4 linked regions of the Sus scrofa genome follow. The protein of the gene in region 1 interacts with the protein of each later gene in a pairwise test. Links are inferred from orthologs where the notes say so. Each region holds a gene or a part of one and is shown in the gene's direction. Other genes may lie near its edges. The genes, in order: CCNC, NDUFV2, TRIM39 and NMNAT1.

The links.
Region 2: the proteins of CCNC (region 1) and NDUFV2 interact in binary tests that used the Homo sapiens proteins (3 or more experiments, as listed by UniProt). The link is inferred for Sus scrofa from reciprocal best matches to the Homo sapiens genes CCNC and NDUFV2.
Region 3: the proteins of CCNC (region 1) and TRIM39 interact in binary tests that used the Homo sapiens proteins (3 or more experiments, as listed by UniProt). The two-hybrid records come from large-scale screens. The link is inferred for Sus scrofa from reciprocal best matches to the Homo sapiens genes CCNC and TRIM39.
Region 4: the proteins of CCNC (region 1) and NMNAT1 interact in binary tests that used the Homo sapiens proteins (3 or more experiments, as listed by UniProt). The two-hybrid records come from large-scale screens. The link is inferred for Sus scrofa from reciprocal best matches to the Homo sapiens genes CCNC and NMNAT1.

The regions. Positions count from the first base shown.
Region 1 is NC_010443.5:66,489,723-66,493,286, reverse strand, and holds part of CCNC (cyclin-C), read left to right. Parts: intron 1-265; exon of another isoform or gene 266-291; coding exon 292-398; intron 399-1,092; coding exon 1,093-1,177; intron 1,178-1,396; coding exon 1,397-1,466; intron 1,467-3,564. UniProt on the Homo sapiens protein: Component of the Mediator complex, a coactivator involved in regulated gene transcription of nearly all RNA polymerase II-dependent genes.
Region 2 is NC_010448.4:98,849,732-98,853,845, reverse strand, and holds the start of NDUFV2 (NADH dehydrogenase [ubiquinone] flavoprotein 2, mitochondrial), read left to right. Parts: upstream 1-1,284; 5' UTR 1,285-1,334; coding exon 1,335-1,388; intron 1,389-4,114.
Region 3 is NC_010449.5:23,048,859-23,053,008, forward strand, and holds the start of TRIM39 (tripartite motif-containing protein 39), read left to right. Parts: upstream 1-1,343; coding exon 1,344-1,796; intron 1,797-3,081; coding exon 3,082-3,177; intron 3,178-4,150.
Region 4 is NC_010448.4:70,270,111-70,274,151, forward strand, and holds the start of NMNAT1 (nicotinamide/nicotinic acid mononucleotide adenylyltransferase 1), read left to right. Parts: upstream 1-1,185; 5' UTR 1,186-1,949; intron 1,950-2,137; exon of another isoform or gene 2,138-2,469; intron 2,470-2,737; 5' UTR 2,738-2,865; intron 2,866-4,041.

The DNA.
Region 1 (3,564 bases):
TCTTAGAATCAGTGAAATACACTATAAAAGTGACATGTGGGAGTGGGAAGAGAGACAAGACAGACTGAGAAGGAAGAGAAGATTAGAGCAGATTTTTTTTTCAGGGCACATTTAATTTACACTTATTAGTGAGATAATTCTAACGTCAGAGTTTCAAGAAATGTGAAAAACATCTTTCAAGGTTACTTTTTGTATTTTGTACTAAGACTAAAACTTGTTCATTCTTAGAATGTTTTCTGTGACTTTGTTAGTTGATTTTCTATAGGTTGTCTGAATCTTTGCTTCTTTTAGTTTGCAATGGATTTTGGATAAACAAGATCTGTTGAAGGAACGCCAAAAGGACTTAAAGTTTCTCTCAGAAGAAGAGTATTGGAAATTACAGATATTTTTTACAAATGGTAAACTTTTTTCTTTTAAATTGGTTTAAATAGTATAGTTGGTTAACTCTGAACTAAGGTGTTTTTCTGTAGTAATTTGTGACTGTTTTAGTCCCTTTATTTTTTTTTTAACATGTGTATTCTCTTTATAACTTAAATGTATTTTTTTAAAGTGACTTATATGTCAGAGATACTCAAGACAATCTAAAAGTGTTAATCTTCCTAAACAGTTATAATGCATCATTAAACCCAGTTTAAGATTGGCTAAAATGAAGTACTTTGAGGATAAATAATTCTTTGGATTGACATCCTGTATTGGTCATTCCTATCTTACAAGTTTGCTTTGGAGAGAAGGGTATTTGGAATTAGAAGGTCTTTGCTGTGCCATGTGGTGGCTTTGTCCAGGATCTTTCTAAGCCTCAGTTCACTCTTATGCAAACCTACCTCTCTGTTGTTTTGAGGATTCATTTTGGATTTTTTATGAACTTTGTAAAACTGATGGGTGTCTGATAAGAGGGGAAATACCTATCATTTAGCCTTAACAAATTTGTAATCCTAGTACTAGACCACTGTGATCCACGTAGAGCATTATAGCATGTGTAAATTTTTCTCTTTGTTAAAAATGAATATAGTCATGATTTAACTGCATGGAAGTTATTGTTCAGTGTTAATATTATATTGATATCAGATTTTATTATTATTATTTTTCTTTTAGTTATCCAAGCATTAGGTGAACATCTTAAATTAAGACAACAAGTTATTGCCACTGCTACGGTCTATTTCAAGAGATTCTATGCCAGGTAGGGCTGTGTTATTTTGGGACTGTTATTTGTATTTAAAATATCATGTATTTGAAACTCTTATGTAATGAGGATGAAACTTATGTAAGTAAATCATGTGTTTGCTATAGAGTTGGCCTGATTTTTTTCCCATATAGATGTTTTCTGTATGAATTCTATTTTCATTTGTGTTTGGTCTATGAATATTGCTTAACTTTGTTTAATTAATTGTATTTTTAGGTATTCTCTGAAAAGTATAGATCCTGTATTAATGGCTCCTACATGTGTGTTTTTGGCATCCAAAGTAGAGGTATGAACTAATTTTCTGTTCTTCATCAAAGTACAGTCAACGGTATTGGTTAAACCCAGTTTTCACATTACCTGTGTAAAAATAATAAGATGATGATTTACATAAAATATTGAAATTTGTACAAAATCAAAGAAGTATATGCATATCTTTATTTTATATATTCAGTTAAAAAGCACTTATGTAACACTTTACTATGTGCCAAGTGCTATTCTAAGTCCTCTTACAAATATTTTAATCCTCATAACAAACTATGGGGTATATATTTGTAATATCATTTTATAAGTGAAGAAACTGAGACACAAAAAGATTAAGGAGCTGATAAGTGACAGGGTATTTTAACCCTAGGAGTCTAGCTTCTAATCCTATTCTCCTTTTTTTTGTTTTTTTGTTTTTTTTTTTGTTTGTTTGTTTTTGCCTTTTCTAGGGCCACTCCCACAGTATATGGAGATTCCCAGGCTAGGGGTCTAATTCCATAGCCTCCAGCCTATGCCAGAGCCATAGCAACAAGGGATCCGAACCACGTCTGCAACCTACACCACAGCTCAGTGCTTAAATCACTGAGCAAGGCCAGGGATTGAACCCGCAACCTCATGGTTCCTAGTCAGATTCCTTAACCACTGTGCCACGACGGGAACTCCTCCCATACTCTTAACTGCTTTGCTTTACTACCTTTAAGATATTTATTGTTTGGTTCTAAGGAGTATTTCATAATTGCCACAGCTTATCCACTATAACTTGAGAATGTTCTTCCTTCTCAAACTCCATATGTGTCCTATGTCCTGCTGTTTTTCCTTCCTGCCTCCTAATGATTGGTTGCCTAGGAGAACCAGAGTAGCTGCAGATATACTCCTTCTAGCAAGGAATAATTTGGGTTGTGAAGGTTGAGAAATTAGGTGAGAAAGAGAAGAGAGATGGGAACCTGCAGCTGAGACCAAATCTTGGATCACTTTATTTACCCTTTCAGTATTTTTTGAGAGAGCTCAGCTAAAATCCAGGTACTAATAGCACGTATTGACTGGTGTTCATAATAATTCATGTTATCTTAGGTAATATGAATCCTATGTATTATGTTTCTATTTTTAGATGATGTCTTCAGAATAGTAATTGCTTCCTTTAATATTGAATGTAATTGTAAGTGGTAATTTAAGGAGGCAGAACCAGCCCTGTTGTTTTTTAAGAAAGTGATTGTAAAAGGTCTGTATTATGGGGTGGTTTTCCCAAATATCACCATATAATTTTATGTGGCTGAAGGACAGCCAATATGGGTAACCAAGATCAAATCTTTATAAACTTTTACTTTTATAAATTAACTTGGAGTTTTATCCTAGTTATATCCTTGTAACAATATCTTTTGCTACATGACTTGCTGAGTATAACCCTATTTTATGATTTACTAAGTGAAAGCTTTTGCTTTAAGAATTTTAAGGTAAAGAATTATCCCTAGGAAAAAATGTATCCTTTCATATTCAGTTATAGCATTTTTTTTTATCTTTATGACCAAATCTATCTGTGTTTTGTCTGCTTGTGTGAAAATTGTATTGAAAGACATTAAAAAGATGTCTCAGGCATTTAATTTCCAGTTTCAGTTATTACAGTTTGAGGTTTAAATGTAAATATAAATATATACACAGGCATACACAGGTGCCGTCTCCCCCCACCACTGTGGGTTTTTGAATAAACTATATATGGTTTAGTTTCTTTTGTTGGATAAGGAACCAATTCTTGATTTTTTTTCAGCTTTAAAATAAAGAGTTTAGTAATCCTATAAAGTTAGTAAAATGAAATGAGACTGTATGTAAGATGAAACACCTCATAAATTTTAGTTATTTTTAGAGAGTTCCATTGTGGCTCAGGGGGTTATGAACCTGACTAGTGTCCATGAGGAGTTGGGTTCCATCCCTGGCCTTGCTCAGTGGGTTAAAGATCCAGCATTGCCATGAGCTGCGGTGTAGGTTGTAGATACGGCTTGGATCCCGCCTGGCTGTGGCTGTGGCATAGGCTGGCAGCTGCAGCTCCAGTTCAACCCTTAGCCTGGGAACTTCCATATGCCACAGGAATGGTCCTAAAAAGTTTAAACAAAAATAAGTTGTTTTAGTTA
Region 2 (4,114 bases), on another chromosome or scaffold:
CATTTGGTGTGTCTATTTCTAGCTGGCTGGTAGCCCTACATGACTCGAATTCCCTAACTTGTAAAATATGATTCATAGGACTTGCTATGGGATATTTTAGAATTTTTTAAATAATGAGGGATTAAAAAACAAACAAACAAAAAAAACAAAAAACAAACCTGCACTAATGTGAAAGTTCCAGAAATCATTCAGAAGTATATTATGGCAAAGAAAAGAGGCAAAAAGAAGGGAGTGGGTACAGGACATAAAAGGAAAGGCCCTGAAGGGAGAAATCAAGAGGCAGTAAGCGCCTGGTACACCCTCCACAGCAGGAAACAGCACTCTACATATTATAGCTATTAGTGAATAAGCACTTGCTGGAATTTCCAAAGATGACCAAACAAACACCAAAAAGGAAGTGGCTTTTTTTTTTTTTTTTTGGAAAGTTTTATTATGGAAAAATTTCTAACATGTTCAAAGTACCGAGAATAGCAATGAGAACTACCACGCGGCTTCAAGTCATCACTCAGGGCCAATCTTGTTTCCTTTCTACCTCCCACTCTGCATTATTCCGAAGCAAATTCCAGATATCTTATTATTTTGCCCCTAAATATGTAAGCATGCATCCCTAAAGCAAAAGAGTGGGAACCAGGGCATTTGGTGTCCATGCCTAGCCCTCTGCGTGGCAGCCAGCCCTCTGTATCTTCAATTCTGCAAATTCTTCAATTTGTAAAATACGATTTATAGGGGGTTGCAACGAAATTTTTTTGTTTTTTAAGGAACTGCAATCAAAAATAAGGTTAGGAGTTCCCGTCGTGGCGCAGTGGTTAACGAATCCGACTAGGAACCATGAGGTTGCGGGTTCCATCCCTGCCCTTGCTCAGTGGGTCAAGGTTCCGGTGTTGCCGTGAGCTGTGGTGTAGGTCACAGACGCGGCTCGGATCCCGCGTTGCTGTGGCTCTGGCGTAGGCTGGCAGCTACAGCTCCGATTCGACCCCTAGCCCGGGAACCTCCATATGCCGCAAGAGCGGCCCAAGAAATGGCAAAAAGACAAAAAAAAAAAAAAAAAAGGTTAAATCCTGACAGGGCTCCAGTAGGGTAGCCCACCTCATAAACTCCGGTGCGCGGGGCCCCTAGGGGACAACGCCCTTCAGGGCGGGATACAAGGCAACACCCCCCGGGACCTGACCTCCTAGGGCGCCGGCGGGTTCTTGCAGCGGCCATTGGCCTCAGCCGTACCCGCGCGCCCCTGCCGCCCAGGGCGCGCAGGCTGGGCTCGGGGGCGCGCACGCCGTGCGTCCCGGCGCTCGCGATTCCTCCTGGCGCGGTCGGAAAGGCCCGCAGTTTGGCCCGCCATGTTTCTCACCGCAGCGCTCCGGGCACGGGCTACGGGCTTCACCGCCCAGTGGGTAAGGAGGCTCGAATGTGCGCCGGCGCTGCCGCTGCCCTCTCCCTCTCTCCCGGCCTCCTCTAGCGGCCGGCACAGGGCACGCCGGGCACGAGACGGCCTGCGGGCGACGGCAAGGACGCCGCGGCCTTCGCCCGCTCTTGAGGAGGCCGCGCGTCCGAGGACCTAGGGAGGGGCGGTGGGGAGGCCTCCTCAGGACGGGAGGCCCGAGTCAGTGCGCGGGGCGTCCCAGGGGCGTCTGGAACTCGGCGGGTGTCTCCTTGGGCCGCGGGAGGGCGGCACCGGCGTACCCTTGACTGCGACTGTGCTGCGTGTTGGAACCCAGGGCTCCCTGCACCTCGCACCCCGGGCGGCGAAGCCTCTGCCGGCTCCTGAGGTCTCAGAACGTCACGCTTTAGACAGCGACCTTGGAGCTCAGGCTGAAACACTCGCTTGCTCTGACTTAAAGATGAACATTCCAGAAATGACGATGATGATGACGGGGCGCTTACGGGAAAGAAAGCTTTCTTTACCTGCACCAGTAAAATAGAAAGGTTGAGTCAGTTTTCAGCCGAACGGAGGGGTTAGTGCACAGCAGTATAGGATGAGCGCAGGGCCTTGCAGTTAGACCTGAGTTTGGATGGAGGCTTCACCGCCTTTTCTAGTTTTGTGACTGGACTGTTCTCACTTGGTTTCCTCAGTTGTCAAATGGGAATATTTCAATTTGTAGAGTTTAGTCTTTCAGTAAAGTTTGAGATTCTACTGTTCCTGTTGGGTTCCAGGTGTCAAGGTGGAGAATAATGGTAGGTGTGACTGCTTTCTGTGCACCAAGCACTGTGTTATTTACCTTCAAAACCTAATTCGTGAGGTTGGTACTGTTACTTCCCCATATTACAGTGAAATGGATTTAGACAATCCCTGTTCTTGTAGAGTTGATAGTTTTATGGACTAGGAACTTAAGGTAGTAGGTATTGAATAGTGTAAAAGTATAGTTAGGTGACCCTTGAACAGATTTGTACTCAGTGGTCCACTTATAAGCGAGGTCCCCCCACCCCGTAGCAGTAAGTACAGTACTGCAGGATCCTGGGTATGGAGAAACCTCATATTTGGAGGTCTGACTCTTAAGTTATTATATTTGGATTTTCAGCTATTTCGAGGGTCCACACTTCTAACCCTTAGTATTGTTCAAGAGTCAGCCGTACAGTGTTAGAGATATGAATAAGATCATCCAGTTTAGTTTGAAGGTGGTGTAAGATTTTTCCTGTAAGTAATAGGAATAGATTGGGGATGGGGCCAAATGGATAGGGAGGGTGTTCTAGGTGGAAAGGACAAGATAAGAAAAACAATATTAGGAACAGCAAATATAATAAGTTCAAAAAATAAAAATCGCCCATAGTTTTATCAAATTGAACATTAACAAAATGTTAACATTTTGATATCTGCACATAAAGGACCTTACAGAAAAATTTTTTTGTAAAAATCAGATGGTATTGTTCATACAGTTTTGTAGCCTGTTTTCTCCCATTATACATTTTGATTAGCTTTGCTTATGAATAAACTTTTTATTTAAAAAAATTTTTTTATTTTTAAGGGCTGCACCTGTGGCATGTGGAGGTTCCCAGGCTAGGGGTTGAATTGGAGCTGCAGCCGCCAGCTTACGACACAGCCACAGCAATGCCAGATACAAGCCACATCTGCTCATGGCATCGATGGATCCTTAACCCACTGAGCGAGACCAGGGATTGAACCTGCATCCTCATGGATGCCAGTCAGATTTGTTTCTGCTGAGCCAGGATGGGAACTCCCATTTTTTTAAGTTTTTTTAAATTTTTAAAAAAAATTTTTATTTTAATGGCTGCTCCTGTGGAATATGGAAGTTCCCAGACCAGGGATTGAATCGAAGCTGCAGCTTCAGCCTTTGTCACAGCTGCAGAGCAACACTGGATCCTTTAACCTACTGCACTCAGCTGGGGAGCAAACCCACGCCTCCACAGTGACCCAAGTCAGATTGTTAATCCACTGTATCACAGTGGGAACTCCCTATACTGTCATTTTTAATGCTGCATAGCATGCCATTGTGAGGATGTTCTATAATTTATATAACCAGGCCCTTTTAACCCATTACAAATAGTGGAATATCAGAATGACCTAGCAAAAAGCAGGAAAAATGTGAGTAAAGAGGTCTCACTAATAAAGTTCCTTTCCTGAAAGGGAAACTTTTAGGAGTTCTCTTGTTGCACAGCAGGTTAAGGATCCAGCAATGTCACTGTCACAGCTTGGGTTGCTGTTGTGGCATGGGTTTGTTCCCTGACCTGGGAGGAGCCCCCCCCAAATAAAGAAGGCTTTAAGGAAATCATTTTCAAAGAAATTGCGTATTTTCTTGTAATTTCTGCTTTATTAGCTAGTTGCCAGTTATTTTAGCCACAGGCTTTTCATCTTGTCATTGCTTAACAAATACCTAGAATTTAGTACTGTGCCTGGAAGTCACTAGTTATTTGACCTTGAGCCATATTTCTTAAGCTCCTTGAGCTTTATTTTTCTTTTCTGTAAGTACAGTAGTACCTCGTTGAGTGATTGTCAAGAATTGCCTAAAAATTATGAAATATGGAAAATAGGTACTCAGAATAGGTTTATTTCCATCTTTCCTTGAGTAATTGCCCATGGCTTTCTGTAATGTTGACACTATTTTATGGCTCATCATTGCCTCGCTACCAAGCCACTGATTAGCTTTGGAGGAACAAGAGGGTT
Region 3 (4,150 bases), on another chromosome or scaffold:
CTGTCTTTTCAAGAAGTTCTTGCCCTGGGCTCAGTAATAGAAATAGACTTTCTAGTACAGTTGCCATGAATTTATCACTTTCTAGCAGTTCCAAAAGTCCAAATGCACACAAATAGAAATGAGTTGTTGTATGAATCATTTCATTCCGAAAAGATAGCACACTTCCTCTAGGCTAGCCTGCTAAAAGGAAGAATAATTCCAGACTTCTGAAAAAAAGAGGTTGTTACCCTTGCCTAACTCACTCCATTTATTACCGTTTGAAAGAGTGAGAGAACAATGCCAGAGAATCAAGCTTAGGTTCCAATGGGCTATTGTAGTAAAACTCTTCTGTAACATTACGCTTTAATGCATACTTAAGGAACCTTAATTAGGAGTTCCTGCTGTGCTGTAGTGGGTTAAGGATCTGGCATTGCTACAGCTGTGGCATAGGTCACAGCTTCAGCTGGGATTCGATCCCTGGCCCCAGGGAACTTCCATATGCCACGGGTGCAGCCAAAAAAGAAAAGAAAGAAAGAAACCTTAATGCTTGACTTTTATGGCACATTCCACTTTCTGAAACTCCTTTCTCATCCATTAGAAAAAATATGTCGGGGAGTTCCCATTGTGGCGCAGCGGACACAAATCCTACTAGTATCCATGAAGATGCAGGTTCAATCCCTGGCCTTGCTTGGATTGCCATGAGCCATGGTGTAGGTTGCAGATGCAGCTCTGCTTCAGAGTTGCTGTGGCTGTGGTATAATTGGCCGGCAGCTGTAGCTCCAAATTGACCAGTAGCCTGAGAACTTCCATATGCTGTGGAAGTTCTTTTTTTGGCCCTAAAAAGCAAAAAGAAAAATGTGTTGGAGTTCTTTGGTGGCTCAGCCAGTTAAGGATCTGACATTTTCACTGCTGTGGCTTTGGTTCAGTCCCTGGCCTGGGAACTTCCACCTGCCATGGGCACAGCCAAAAAAGATAAGTATGTCCAACCAGGAATTCATTGGTCTGGAACTATTGGTTCTAAGACACAAATGGAATGAAACAGAATCAGGAGAAGTACTTTGGGCTAAAGTTGAAAGGGGCCTCTGTTTCTAACAAGAGGAAGTGATAATAGACAAGAGATTGAGGGTTATATGTCAGTTTGCTGCAGAGAAAAAAAAAGTTAATGTCTGGGAGTCACAAGTTTTGGAAATGGAGAAACAAAAGAGCTTGACTAGTGGGAGAGAAGATGTAAAATACCACGAAGGGACTAAATCTGCAGTTAGCGTTTAACATGGACGTACATGTCAGGTCAGGGATGCCAAAAAATTAAACCTCCAATTAACATTTTTCTTTCCTCTTCCCCCTTCCTAACTTCAAGTTAAATAATGGCAGAGACAAGTCTGTTAGAGGCCGGGGCCTCTGCAGCCTCCACAGCTGCAGCGCTGGAGAACTTACAGGTGGAGGCAAGTTGTTCTGTGTGCCTGGAGTATCTGAAGGAGCCTGTCATCATTGAGTGTGGGCACAACTTCTGCAAAGCTTGCATCACCCGCTGGTGGGAGGACCTAGAGAGGGACTTCCCTTGCCCTGTCTGTCGAAAGACATCCCGCTACCGCAGCCTCCGGCCTAATCGACAGCTGGGCAGTATGGTGGAAATTGCCAAGCAGCTCCAAGCTGTCAAGCGGAAGATCCGAGATGAGAGCCTCTGCCCCCAGCACCACGAGGCCCTCAGCCTCTTCTGCTATGAGGACCAGGAGGCTGTCTGTTTGATATGTGCAATTTCCCACACTCACCGGGCCCATACCGTTGTGCCACTGGATGATGCCACCCAGGAGTACAAGGTAAGGAACCAGACACATGATGCTAATGCAGGGCAAGGGAGAGGAGTGCAGAGGGTGAGAGATTCCCTGGGTAGAAGATCATAAGTTCCTGAGGGCAAGATGGTATCTGGTCCTCACTCTGTATTCCCCTCAGAGCTACATACACTAGGCACACAGCACATCTGATCAGTTATCCTCAGGCATGAAGAAGAGCAGTGAGAGGAGTTCCCATCATGGCACAGTGGAAAGAAATCTGACTAGGAACCATGAGGTTGCAGGTTTGATCCCTGGCCTTGCTCAGAGGGTTAAGGATCCAGTGTTGCCATGAGCTATGGTGTAGGTCGCAGACACGGCTCAGATCTGGCATGGCTGCACCTGTGTCATAGGTCAGCAGCTGTAGCTTCCGTTGGACCCCTAGCCTGGGAACCTCCATATGCTGCAGGTACGGCCCTAAAAAGCAAAAAAAAAGCAATGAGAAATATCCCAAAATTTCTCTCTGACTTTTATAACACATCTGCGTATGTGTGGTCCTGGAATGTATTATGTTTTTCACAAGTGAATGAAACCGCATGGAGAAGATCAAATTTAGGAAGAACTGAAAGGTAGTCTGGTTTCTTCATTCTTTCCTCCTGCTCACATGCCCCTTGTTTAACCTAGTATTGGGCATAGATAACATCACTTTAGAATGACCTCCACCAGGCCAAGCTGAACCAGTCTGTTTGCATCTTGCCTGGATGATAGATAACATGGTATACGGATTAACTTACCACTGGGACCCAGGATACATGTTTGAGTAATAGGAACTCGAGATTTTAATGTCTTAGCACTTTATCAAGAACTTTGACCAATTATATTAGTAAAATCTTAGAAATAAGATTTTATGGTAGTTTCCAAAATAAGTAATCAAGATTGTATTATATTTGCAAGTGGTTAGAGTTGGATAGGACAACAATTTAAAGAAAGATATCAGGGGACAGGAGGTCACTTTGACAGTAATAGGCAGTTCCATGAGTAAGAAAATGAACAGGGCAGGAGAAGGACAGAGAGTTGGTGACAGCTGGACACTGTGAGATTCAGTGAAAGGAAAGTTTGGTGAACAAAGAAAGTGATATGGAGACAGGTTGGTGGCAGGAAGAGGGACCTGTAGGAAATTGACACCCCAAATGACAGACAAGGCAGTTGCATCAAGAGGTGGTAAGAGATGGATAGGAAGCAAAACAAATGATTTAAAACAAATGGGTTAGTTTCTGAACATAGGATGTACCAGATAATCCCAAATGCCATTCTCCCACTTTGCACCCCTCAGGAAAAACTGCAGAAGTGCCTGGAGCCCCTGGAGCAGAAGCTACAGGAGATCACCCGCTGCAAGTCCTCTGAGGAGAAGAAGCCTGGCGAACTCAAGGTAAAGGCAGGAGATCCATTTGGGCTGCTCTACAGGCAGTTAACCAAACATTAACCACACATTATTTAACCCCCCCAGTTCTGGTTCCTTAGAAAAATGCTATTCTCGGAGCTCCCGCTGTGGCACGGTGGGTTAAGGATCCCTCGTTGTCTCTGAGGCAGCAAGGGTTCAATCCCCGGCCCAGTGCAGTGAATTAAGGATTCATCGTTGCCACAGCTGTGGTGTTAGGTTGCAGCTGTGGCTGAGATTCAGTCCCTGGCCCAGGAACTTCTATACGCGGCCATAAAAAGAAAGAAAAAGAAAAATGCTGTTCTCTCAGAAATGATGGTATTTTTATTAAGCTTGATTGTCATTAAACATTGTACTTAGATTAATTGTCATGGATTAAGTATTGAGAAAGATGGAAGAGGTGAAGGACAGAATATCTTATATCTGTGGAGTTGAGGGAGTTCATGCCTGTTGGTCTCCTTTTCTTTGTAAGGCAGGGAAGAAGGCTCTCTGCTGAGTGGGCAGGGATAGGAGTTTCTTAGAGGGATTGAGGCAAGAAGAATGTGGAAGATGCACTCGGGAGGAAGGATGGAGGAGCTGCCCAGTAACCTCTAGACCACATTCTCTTAACTCAAGTAAACTCAAAAATGCTAGATGAGGTTAGTTTCTAGGATAGTCTTCCTTTCCCCATCCTCTACTGTAGGATCCTATTGGTGAAAACCACTGCTTATGTAGCCTTTCTGGAACCTTTAGAAATTGGCTCTTTTAATTTGCATACAGTTTTGCATCTCTTCCATAGCATTAACATATTTGTAGCATGGTATTTTGGTATCTGTCCTATTTCTTCTATTGGACAGTGAGACATGTATTAATAGTAGCAGTAATAATAACTAGTATTTATTGAGCCCTGAGCATTAATTCATTAGGTATCCAAGACATTCCAAACTTTCAGGATTGTGTTAGGTCTTAGAGTTCTGCCCGGATT
Region 4 (4,041 bases), on another chromosome or scaffold:
GGGGTTGAATCAGAGCTGTAGCTGCCAGCCTATACCACAGTCTCAGCAATGCCAGATCCAAGCTGCATCTGCAGCCTACACCACAGCTCATGGCAATGCCAGATCCTTAACCTACTGAGCAAGGCTGCATATTGCTTGCTTCTTCCACTGCATCCTACATCTTTTTTTTTTTTTTTTTTGTCTTTTTGTTTTTTCCAGGGCTGCACCTGTGGCATATGGAGGTTCCCAGGCTAGGGGTCTAACGGGAGCAGTAGCTGCTGGCCTACACCACGGGAGCAGCAATGTGGGATCTGAACCGCACCTGTGACCTACACCACAGCCCACGGCAATGCTGGATCCCCAGCCCACCGAGCAAGGCCAGGGATTGAACCTGAAACCTAATGGTTCCTAGTCAGATTCGTTAACCACTGAGCCACAGTGGGAACTCCTGCATCCTACATCTTATTCTCTATTTAGCACTATGTCTGCCTTGAATTATATGTGATTCATTATAGCTTATTGTTTGTCTGTTTTCCTCTCCAGACTGTAAAATGAGAGCAGAAAATAAGTCTCATTCCTTTCTTAGCCTAATCAGCATTTAGTTCAGACTAGGTATTTGATATGTATAAAGGTACAACATATTTTAAGATTAACCTTGTCTAAACGAACTTCAGGGAAGAAAGAGACACTTTGGTTTTGTATTGGGGGTTTTTTGGTCGCACCCACACCAGAAGGAAGTTCCAGGGGCCAGGGATGGAACCCGCTGCCACAGCAGTGACCTGAGCCACAGCAGTGATAATGCCAGATCCTTAACTCACTGAGCGACTAGGGAACTCCTTAAAAAAAAAAAAAAAAAAAAAAAAAACCACAAAACCCTTTTAAGAATCTTAACCTAGTGCTACATTAGTTGAGATTCGTCCTATAAAGATTAACTCGCGGGCACCACCTAGTATTCAACAAAGGTGGTGCACCTTTTACGCAAACAGCCAAATTACTCCCCCAAACTGTACTCTGGAGTGGAAGGTACTCATTCACGCTCACCTTTCTCTTAGCACTCCGAACTCTGCTTAGTGCTGACTGGTCTCAAACTGCATAAAACCGCCAGTTCTTGTAGTTTCAAGTGTTATAAACTTGAGGAACGCGAAACTGTTCATCAGGGCAAGAAGTTCAAAGTTCAAACCACCTGAGGGTGGAGCTGGCTGGAAAAGGGAACAATTGACAAGCAGTTTTATTCACTATATATAAACGTGGCCTAAAGCAGTTCGGAAAACTTCCACTTGGGCGGCCTGCGACTGCACCCTCTCTTTCCGGCTCCTAGGGAGACATCGTAGGAGCAGGGGGCAGGTGTGGAGGAGAGGGTGAAATCCGCTTTCCTTCTGACTGTGCGGGCAGTCTTTGAGGCTTTTCCTGGTGAGACCGAGTGCGTTACTGAGGAAAACGCCGCACCCTAAACTGCCTTGAGGGAAGCTGTCAAACCCAGAAGCACGAAAAAGATAAAGGTGGAGCGCACACGTTTTCCTGGCTGGAAGTGAGCGGCTTCTGAACCTCGACCTTCCGGACGGGGTCAGGCAGCAGCTCCGGCCACCGCCCCAAATTCCATCTCCCACCAGGGAACCTGAAGCTCCCGCACTTGGGACTGGCGGCGGCCGGGTCGACTAGGCCTGGTTGCTCCCAGGCGTCGCCGGGATCCCGGCGCCCCCAAAGCTCTTCGGTCTTCCCAGACCAGAACCCGAACCACCCCCTCGGGGTCCCCTCTCCGCCTCCGCCCACCACGCCTGGTCCGAGAGTTCACAGCCAGGGGCCCCGCCTACCTGAGGGTCCGGGCCCCGCGGACGCGTGCAGGTGAAGCACTTCCGCCAAACGCACGCACTTCCGACCGCCTGGAGCCAATGAGGGCGCGGCTACGAGTGTTACCGTCACTGGTATCCGGGTTGCGGACTGTCTCCCGGAGGACTCGGGCCAGTAGCGTGGTAAGCCCCTACCCGGAGACCCTGACAAACCGGGCTCTGGGGGAGTCAGCCAAGGACTCCTTTTTAAAATCGCAAGTGCAAGGGAGTCCAAGATGGTGGGGTTTTTGAGGGTCAAATGCAGCCGTCCCCGAAGCAAGGTCTCAATCAAGTTTGAGGCTGGGAGTCTTGTCCCTTCCTTTAGAATTTTCTCTGTAGAACCAAAAATCTCGGTAAAGTTGCCTCTGGCCTTTGGAACAGGTGAATTCACCCTGGGGGAAAAACTCCTTCTTGGGCAGAAGTGAGGGGGGCGAGGCACTTCCCCTTTTTCCCGCAAATCCTTTTTTCCAGGTCTGTGAAAGACTGGATTACGAAGCAGTTTGACACCAATTCGTCTTGGAAAGGAGACTGCGAGCCGTTGGGCAACATTCTAAAAGTTACTCAGAAGTTAGGTGGAAATTGTTTTCACATGTTCCCAGCCCAGCTCCTTGAAGTCATTAGTCCACAAGACAACCTCAGGGTTTACAGCGAAATTGTTAAACAGGTGTTGTCTTTAAAGTTAATTCTAGGAATTCCCTGGTGGCTCAGTGGGTTAAAGATCTGGCATAGTCACTGCTGTGGCAGGGGTTGATTCCTGGCCCAGGAACTTCCACAGGCCCAGGAGCCTGGCCAGAAATAAAAATAAAGTTAATTTTAACTCAGCCACCCAGGACACACTTCCTAGATCACCACAGAACTCCACCAGAATGAATTATTTGTCATTTCTGTCCAATCATAGAAATTCTTATTTATCACCATAAATTGTTTTTCAGAGTTACAATTTGGTTGTGAAATCGCAGTTCTAAGTCCAACACAGAAGAGAAGTTGACACACAAGTTGGAATGGTTCCAATGGCCTACTGTGCAAAACTATTCAGATTCATAGAATTTCCTTTGTAAAAGTAAGTGGCTGTTACGTATTTTTTTGTTATTGTTAACAAGTGGTAAATATATTGTGTATCAAGCAAGCCTCTTAAGTTTAGATAATTTTTATCGAAGTATAGTTGATTTACAATGTGTTAATTTCTGCTGGACAGCAAGGTCATTCCGTTTTATATGTACATAATGTATGTATGCATTGTTTTTTATATTCTTTTCCATTCTGGTTTGTTTCAGATATTGAGTATAGTTCCCTGTGCTATGCAGTAGGACTTTGCTGTTTATCCGTTCTGTGTAATAATAGTTTGCATCTGCTAACCCCAGACTCCCAGTCCGTTCCTCTCCCATTCCCCTCCCTGTTGGCAACCGCAAGTCTGTTCTCTAAGTCTGTTTCTAATTCGTAGATAGGTTCATTTGTGTCGTATGTTAGATTCCACGTGTAAGTGGTATATGGTATGTGTCTTTTCTTTCTGATTTCACTTCGTATGATAATCTCTAGTTCCATCCATGTTGCTGCAGATGACATTATTTTGTTCTTTTTTATAGCTAAGTAGCATTCCAGTGTGTGCATATGTGTATATATATATATATACATATATGCACAATGGATTTACATACAAAGTATATAATGTATATACAGTGGAGTATATAAATATGCAGTGATAATGTGACTATGTGTGGAAATGTTTTTGTAGAATATCAAAATCTCAATGACAAATAGGGTCAGTGCCACATACAACAAAGCTGGAAAATATCCTTCTTTCACCATTTGAAGTACTTGCTGAATAAACATTTTCTCACTGGGTTCTTCCCCTAATTTTTATGGTGATAATACAGAGTTCTACTTAGGCATTTGTGTTGGTTTTAGAGGGTGCGAGCAATCTTAGAAGCTGTGGAGGAAAGGCCTCACTGTACAAGCATCGTGCTTACCTGCTCTTCATTCTTGGTAACTTAATCTGATTCCGCAGTTCAGATTCCGAGAGTATTCTTACATACCTTTGGGTTCTTGTTTAAAGCTAATGGATAGTGAAAAAGCATTCCTAGTGCATAGGCAAGAGAAATTGGTTTTGGTTCAAGTTCTCAAACAAAGATAGAATCTAAGCCTAAAAAGAGGATGGGGAGGGAAGAGAAGAAATTGGGAAAAGAGGAATGAATGTTAGGTAGGTAGACACAGAGAGAGCGTTGGGGAAAGTAACCTC